Linked DNA regions of Rattus norvegicus. Each later gene encodes a partner of the first gene's protein in a complex. Links are inferred from orthologs where the notes say so. Each region holds a gene or a part of one and is shown in the gene's direction. Other genes may lie near its edges.

Evidence for each region.
Region 2: the proteins of Tuba1a (region 1) and Pierce1 are in contact, whole or in part, in a cryo-EM structure (PDB 7UNG), measured with the Homo sapiens proteins. The link is inferred for Rattus norvegicus from reciprocal best matches to the Homo sapiens genes TUBA1A and PIERCE1. Residues at the interface, in NP_001257328.1 of Homo sapiens: Met1, Arg2, Gln15, Asn18, Ala19, Glu22, Cys25, Leu26, Glu27, His28, Gly29, Ile30, Gln31, Pro32, Asp33, Met36, Pro37, Asp39, Lys40, Asp46, Asp47, Ser48, Asn50, Glu77, Gly81, Thr82, Tyr83, Tyr224, Thr225, Asn228; in NP_001041730.1 of Homo sapiens: Tyr28, Pro35, Gly36, Arg37, Phe38, Trp43, Phe44, Arg45, Gly46, Tyr47, Arg48, Thr58, Ser59, Asn60, Gln61, Ala62, Tyr63, Gly64, Arg66, His71, Glu72, Pro74, Phe77, Tyr78, Pro79, Asn80, Ser81, Asn82, Lys83.

What each region holds. Positions count from the first base shown.
Region 1 is NC_086025.1:131,993,016-131,996,727, reverse strand, and holds the start of Tuba1a (tubulin alpha-1A chain), read left to right. Parts: upstream 1-908; 5' UTR 909-974; coding exon 975-977; intron 978-2,731; coding exon 2,732-2,954; intron 2,955-3,085; coding exon 3,086-3,234; intron 3,235-3,399; coding exon 3,400-3,712. UniProt on the Homo sapiens protein: Tubulin is the major constituent of microtubules, a cylinder consisting of laterally associated linear protofilaments composed of alpha- and beta-tubulin heterodimers.
Region 2 is NC_086021.1:32,197,141-32,200,888, reverse strand, and holds the start of Pierce1 (piercer of microtubule wall 1 protein), read left to right. Parts: upstream 1-1,327; 5' UTR 1,328-1,395; coding exon 1,396-1,538; intron 1,539-2,277; coding exon 2,278-2,356; intron 2,357-3,748. UniProt on the Homo sapiens protein: Microtubule inner protein involved in the attachment of outer dynein arms (ODAs) to dynein-decorated doublet microtubules (DMTs) in cilia axoneme, which is required for motile cilia beating.

The sequences.
Region 1 (3,712 bases):
AGAAAGCAAGCTCTCTAGTAAAGCGTTAAGTACTACTTTGTATATTGTTTCTCTTTTTTCCTTTCTCTCTCTCTCTCTCTTTGTTTGTTTTTGGTTTTTGAGACAGGATATCACACTATATATCCAGGCCGGGTACAAAATAACCGCAGTCCTCCGCTTCCCAATGCTGGGATTTACAGGCATAAACCACTAAGGGCGGTTATGATGACCTTGAGCTGCAAGTCTTCCTGCCTCTGCCTCCCAGGTGCTGTTGAGGGTCATAGGCGTGGTCTATTCATACTGAGCTTCTGAATTTTGCTCAAATATTAATAATAATAGTAATAATAATAATAACCACAATAATACAACTGTAAAACTAAACATTTACCCACGCCTTTTTGACCATCATTCCCATAGCTCTTGCTACTTTATTTAAAGCGAACAGAGATGTTGAATCCTGACGGAACGTATTTAAATTTAGTGTAGTATAAATGAAAAGCTGGAATTTACCATAAAGAATCTCAACACAAATTCTGTGATTAAGTGTTGGGGAAAACCTTAAATTATCCTAACTACAGTTTAAGGTTTAAGCTCCGTATAATCACCCAACCCCCGTTTTCTTTCTTCCCTCTCTACCCCTCCCCAGCTCCACCCCATAATGGATGCTCGGCTAGTTGCTTTTGCGAGGCCTTTGTCTGAAGGATGCAAAATCTACGGATGCTAGCGAGGGGGGGAAGGGGGGAGAGATTACCTCATACCATGTCGCTTGCACCAATCACCACTCTCCTGTCGCGGCTTCTCTGGGCAGACGGAGGGGTCTGGACCAACAGGAAAAGGCCTTGGCCCATCCCCATGGTGACCGAGCTGTATATAAGGAGGCGCATCCGCCCAAGTGCCGCAGGTTCTCTTACATCGACCGCTTAAGAGTCGCGCTGTAAGAAGCAACACCTCCTCCTCGCCTCCGCCATCCACCCGGCAGCCGCGAAGCAGCAACCATGGTGAGCAAACCTTCCCGGGCTCTCAGGAGCGGGTGGGTGTCAGCCGGCTCAGTCTGCAAGGAGACGCCTAAGCCTTTTGTCATCTCTGCGGGGAAGGGTGGTCTGGATGCTTTAAGTTTAGCTTAGTCCGTGAGTCCCGCCGCCGCAGTGCGGGACACGGAAACGCCCAGACCGGGAAGAACAAAGGCTGCGCCGGCGAGCGATTGCTGGCAGAGCCCGGGACCACAGGGGACCGGCGGGGGAGAGGGAGGGTGCCGCAGGGTCTGCTGCAGCAGGAGGGCAGGGCGGCGGCCGAGCCCGCACTCCAGAAACGCCGCCCTAACTCGCTGGGAAAATAGTTTGCCTGGGATCCATGGCAGCCGCTGTCAGGGAGGCGCAGGGGCGGGGTTGTTTGTCTCTTGCTTCCGTGGCGTTTTGGGAGGGGTTCGCTCTCACTAAGCCTCACTCCCGAGCTGGGTTTTTTATTATTATTATTATTAATTTTTATTTTTAAAAAGAATCGTTGGGGAATTGTAGTCTTACGAGATGCTCCACGGGGCCATCTCGCTGGGTGGGGGGAGGGGAGCTGGATGGTTGGGAATGACAAAGCCCACTTTGTGAAGCCCGAGTAGCTGACGGTCAGAACCCAGGGAAACGCCCTTCCCCGCCCCCAACCCCCGCAGACAATGAAAGTTGTCCCTCCAAGGCAGAAGTGTCTCTCTCTATAGAATAGTGGTTTATTATGTTGTATGTAGAGATTCATCGGATAAAAATACTATTTTCTACTTTTAAATATTAGTTATCTTTTCACTTGTTTTTTTTTTAATTGTTGGCACTAATTGTGTGCACTGTGTTTCTAACTTAGCCTGCTTTAAGAATGTTTCCGTCCCATCCAATAGAAAACCTTCAAAAACCATAATGATTCTGCTGCAAAGAAAAAAAAAATGATACTCTGCACCCGACTGCCTTTTGTTCTAATATATGACACTCATTCATTAATTCAGGCAGATGGCCCCAGGCAGGGTTGGGAGGCACGCAGAAAGCTGCACAAAGAGATCACGTAGACAGCTTCTGGAAATAGAGCTTTCTCTGTTAAATAATGTAACAGACCACAGGCTAGAGCCAGGCACAGAGAACGCGGCAATGCAGAAGTCAGACTCAATAGCAGGTAACCTAGCCTAGTACTGACCGGGCCCACAGAAGGGTGTGGCTGCTGGCCTCAGCCGCACTGCAGATGTCCACATTGAAATACCAGGTCCTATAGGATGAAACCTTAAACTTTGTGAGACTCGGTCTAGCTTGCAGCTTAGCCAGAGTACTAATGGGGTCCACAGAAGGGTGTGGCTGCTGGCCTCAGCCGCACTGCAGATGTCCACGTTGAAATACCAGGTCCTGTAGGATGAAACCTTCATCCTTACTTAACAAGAAAAGAAGCAATTAATGTAATTTCGGGTAATTATTTCATTTTACAGAATCTATGTTTTGAATATTTTTCAAATATGAAGACTTCTATTCAAACACTGCTATGGGAACAATGGGTTGGCACCATGTCTTAAGCAGTACTAAGGTGACATTGAGGCCACACCCACTTTCAGTATTGGTAGTGGGTACTCCTTCCTCATTGTGTCTGTCATATTAGGGATATGACACTAAATAAATTTAAACAATGTTTGTATTTTTAGAAACACTTTAGAAATCTATTAAAATCTAAAATAGAAGTACAGCTTAATATTACAACAACTTAATTTTATGATATTTTTTCCCCCTTTCCACAGCGTGAGTGTATCTCCATCCACGTCGGCCAGGCTGGTGTCCAGATCGGCAATGCCTGCTGGGAGCTCTACTGCCTGGAACATGGCATCCAGCCTGATGGCCAGATGCCAAGCGACAAGACCATTGGGGGAGGAGATGACTCCTTCAACACCTTCTTCAGTGAGACAGGAGCTGGCAAGCACGTGCCCCGGGCGGTGTTCGTAGACCTGGAACCCACAGTTATTGGTAAGTGGACTGGGGGCTTCCCTGGGGCAGTCCTTCTTGGTCACATACTCAGAATGTCTCTCCAGACCCGGAAGGGTGAGTGAGCTTGTGGGGTCCTTGGTGGTGATGGCTGATGTCTTCTCCTTTTTCAGATGAAGTTCGCACTGGCACCTACCGCCAGCTCTTCCACCCAGAGCAGCTCATCACAGGCAAGGAAGATGCTGCCAATAACTATGCCCGTGGCCACTACACCATTGGCAAGGAGATCATTGACCTTGTCTTGGACAGAATTCGCAAGCTGGTAAATGCCCTATGTGGATGGGTTTAAAATGCAGTGGGAGGGTGTCTTGGTATCTGTCAAAATGTGTCAGGTCTTTCCTATCAGGTAGAGATGGCTCACAGTCTAAAGGAATTGAAATAGTGTATGCCCTGGTAATAAGACATTATATGTCCTTTTCTCCCACAGGCTGACCAGTGCACGGGTCTCCAGGGCTTCTTGGTTTTCCACAGCTTTGGTGGGGGAACTGGCTCTGGGTTCACCTCCCTGCTGATGGAGCGGCTCTCTGTCGACTACGGAAAGAAGTCCAAGCTGGAGTTCTCCATTTACCCAGCCCCCCAGGTTTCCACTGCTGTGGTTGAGCCCTACAATTCCATCCTCACCACCCACACCACCCTGGAGCACTCTGATTGTGCCTTCATGGTAGACAATGAGGCCATCTATGACATCTGTCGTAGAAACCTCGACATTGAGCGCCCAACCTACACTAACTTAAACAGGT
Region 2 (3,748 bases), on another chromosome or scaffold:
TCTTATTCAAAATTGTTTTTTAGTGGGGGAGAGGTTGTTGTTTGGTTTTCTTTGTTTTTGTTTTCGTTTTTTCCTGAGACAGGGTTTCTCTGTGTAGCCTTGACTGTCATGGAATTCACTCTGTAGATCAGGCTGGCTTGAACTCAGAGAGCCGGCTGCCTCTGCCTCTAGAGAGCTGGGATTAAAGGCATGCCCTACTACCGCCCCGTTTATTGTTTGGTTTTTAATTGCATTCTTTTCTTTTTTAACATTTATTTTAGATTTACTGATTTATTTATTTATTTATTTATTTATTTATTTATTTATTTATTTATTTGCCTATATGTATTTATATGCACCTTGTGAGTGCCTGGTCCCCGTGGAGATCAGAAGAAGGTGTCTGACCTCCAGGAGCTAGAGTTAAAGATGTTTGAGTCACCTTGTAGGCTCTGGGAATTGAACCCAGGTTCAATTTGTCGCAAGAGCGACAAATGCCCTTAAGTGCTGAGCCATCTCTCCATCTCCAAATTACACTAAACAGTGATGACGACGACGACGACAAACCAATCTTCCTGACTGGCCAGACATTCATAGAGATCTGACTGCCTCTATCTCCTGGGCGTTGCAATTATTGGTGCACACCACCATACTCTGCCTCAAGTAGTTTTTATTGTTTGTTTTAAAATTATTTATTGTTATTATTGTTGTTAAGACAGGGTCTCGATATATACCCCTGACCGGTCTAGACCTCTCTTCGTAAACCAGGCTGGCCTCAAACTCAGAGAGCTGCCTGCTGGCATTGCACTAGCACTTCATTGACCAGTCACTCTTGGCGTCTGAACCTCCATGTGAACTACGTGCATGGCTCGCAAGCTCATTTGCTATATTTCAACGGTATTTGGCCTGGGATTCCCTAAATTTAGTATCATCTCACAAATAGATTTAGGCTGAGTTGTTGGGGGTATGGGGTGTTGGAGGCCAAGGAGAAGCCATGGCCAGTACAGTAAACGACAGACTAGTGAGGACTTGCTCAGGTAGAGCTTGGAAGCCGCTAATCCCTGCCTATTGGCTGGTGAACTCCCAGGATCTAAGGTTTCATTAGCCGGGATCTACTTCCTAGTGCATTTTGGGATGATACAGGGTTGTTCCCACAGTCCCAGAAAGAGACCAGCGGAACTCCCAGAGGAGCGGCAAGTGGACGCTTGGAATTCCTTGCTTAGAACTCACGGTCTCCTTTGTTATTCGCCCTCTGGAAGATTCTAGACTTGACTACAGCTCCTAGCCAAAAAACTCACAAAAGACTACAAAAGACCATTCCGCCTCCTGGTCAGGTGACTTCGTTGCCTAGCAACAGGACGCCCTGCCGCAGTAGCCACAGACTTGACTGTCCTGGGCTAGTTTCCTGTGGGAGGCCAAATGTCTGAAGAAAACCCCCAAGAGTGCGCCGAGCCGGTGGAGCCCAAGGCTAAGCCTGCCCCAGAGAAAACGAGCGACTACTACCGCATTAGCGAGAAGCTCCCAGACAGGTTCAACAACCCGGGGTGGTTTCATGGCTACAGGTAAGGCCCTAGCTTTGGCCATGCGTGTGAGAACTCCCAAGTGCCTGGCTGCTGAGGTCAAAAGAAGTCAGACATGAACCCTGTGCCCGTGTCACCATTACTATTAGGGTCCTGCTGTCTGAGCACCACAAGAGTGAACGTGTGTGAATGTAGCCTTGTTGCAGGCAGGGGGTGTCTCCAGTTTTAAAGCTTCCCTGAAAGTTATACCCTGTACAGAGCAGCCTGTCTCTCTTGAAAATAAGGATGGAAGCCGTTGACTTCTGTGAAGCAGGTGCAGGCACGTCCCCTTTCTACACAGCTTGCTTGAGGCCTCCGGTGTGGAGAAGAGCTGCTGGTAGCCTCTCTGTCACAGACCACAGCCTCACACACTAGATTTCCTTCCTCCTCTCCACCTGACAGAAGCTCTGTAAGGTTGGAGCTCAAAAGCAGAGGGGTTCCTGAGTGATAGGGGTCTGGAAACCGAGATGTCCCTGAGGTAGCTAACAAACCTGGCAGTGGCAGTCTGTGCCAAGGTTCCACCAAGACCCCTCCTCCAGCATTTGCATATCCTGAAGGGGTTCCCTTTGGAAGGATCAGGGGCCACGGCCAGCAGAGGAGGCCAGAGAGGCAGGCCTGATGGGAGAGGGTATTGTCTACGGGGACATGGCCCTAAAAGTTCCATCAATCAAATTCTTCCAGGCTATGACTTGGCTGACTTATTTTGAGGCTGGATGGGAAACAGTGTATCTCTCTTCCACAGTACCAATGAAGCTGTTTCCATGTACAGGACCAGTAACCAAACCTATGGGAGCAGAGCTCCCACAGCGCATGAGATGCCGGTAAGTGCAAGCCACATATGCCAGGACGAAGTACCATCGGAAGAGCGGATCCCCACGTTGTAAATGCATGGTACTTCAAATCGCAATCGAGTTAGAACAAGGCAGGGCAGAGAAATGATAGAATACAATTTCGAAGCAAAATATATTGTAGAAAGAGAAGTCCAGGTAAACTTGCTTCCACAGTCTCCTCCTCATCAGACAGGCATGCACTTCTTCACATGGGCACATACACCTTTGCAGGGGCTCCCAAAGGCAAATTAGTGAAGCCCAGTGTTCGTATGAGTGGCAGAACTCCTCTGAAGAGCATGTCCACTAAAAGATTTTCTGGACTCAGTGTTCTAAGACCAGATGCAAGGTGTTTCTGAGGGAAGCAGGAACATGGGTTCTGCTGTCCATACAGTCTTTTTTTTTTTTTTTTTTTTTTCGGAGCTGGGGACCGAACCCAGGGCCTTGCACTTGCTAGGCAAGCGCCCTACCACTGAGCTAAATCCCCAACCCTGCCCATGCAGTCTTAAATCGCATTGGCCTTGTCTTGATGTGGGGGTGTACCATGGCACACAAGTATGGAGGTCAGAGGACCACTTGGAAGAGTTGGTTCTTGAGGTGGCTCTCCTCAGTAGTTAAGAGCACTGGCTGCTCTTCCAGAGGTACTGAGTTCAAATCCCAGCAACCACTTGGTGGCTTACAACCATCTGTAATGGGATCTGATGCCCCTTTCTGGTGTGTCTGAAGACAGCTACAGTGTACTTATTTATAATAAATAAAAAAATCTTAAGAAAAGGAAAGAAAATACACTGTACCTTAAAAAAATAAAGAAAAAGAAAAGAAAAGGAGTCGGTTCTCCTTTCACCAGGCTCAGCAATTAAGGACCTTTAGCTTTTTTCTTTGAGACATGGTCTCAAGATAGCCAGAGCTAGTTCTGAATCAGTTCAAAGCTTTGAACTCCTGAACCTCTGGCCTCCACCTCCCAAGTGCTGGTTTAGAGGTGTGCTCTCCCACATCCTGTTTCATGAAGTGCCAGGGCTTTGCAAATGTTAGACATCATGTTCTACCCAGTGAGCAACAGCCCCGGCTTCTGCTTCTGCCTTTGTAAAAGGCCACTGAGAAGAGGCCACTCTTTTTAACGCTAGGTGCTTTACAGCCAGGTTAGCAGGCCATGATGGGCCACAGGCTGCACGCAGGTATCTGAGGCAAGCTAGGAGGTAGGTATTCCCTGCTTCTTAGTCCTGTTCTTGGGGGTTGGCTTTTCAGCTTTCTGACTCAGTCTGACTGCACTCTGTGAGCAGCTCTTAGTATTAGTCTCTATGACACTACAATGGTGGATATTTATTATTATAGACCTGTCAGAATGCACTGATTGTCCCCCCAAGTGTTCAGTGCACAGCTCAGTAG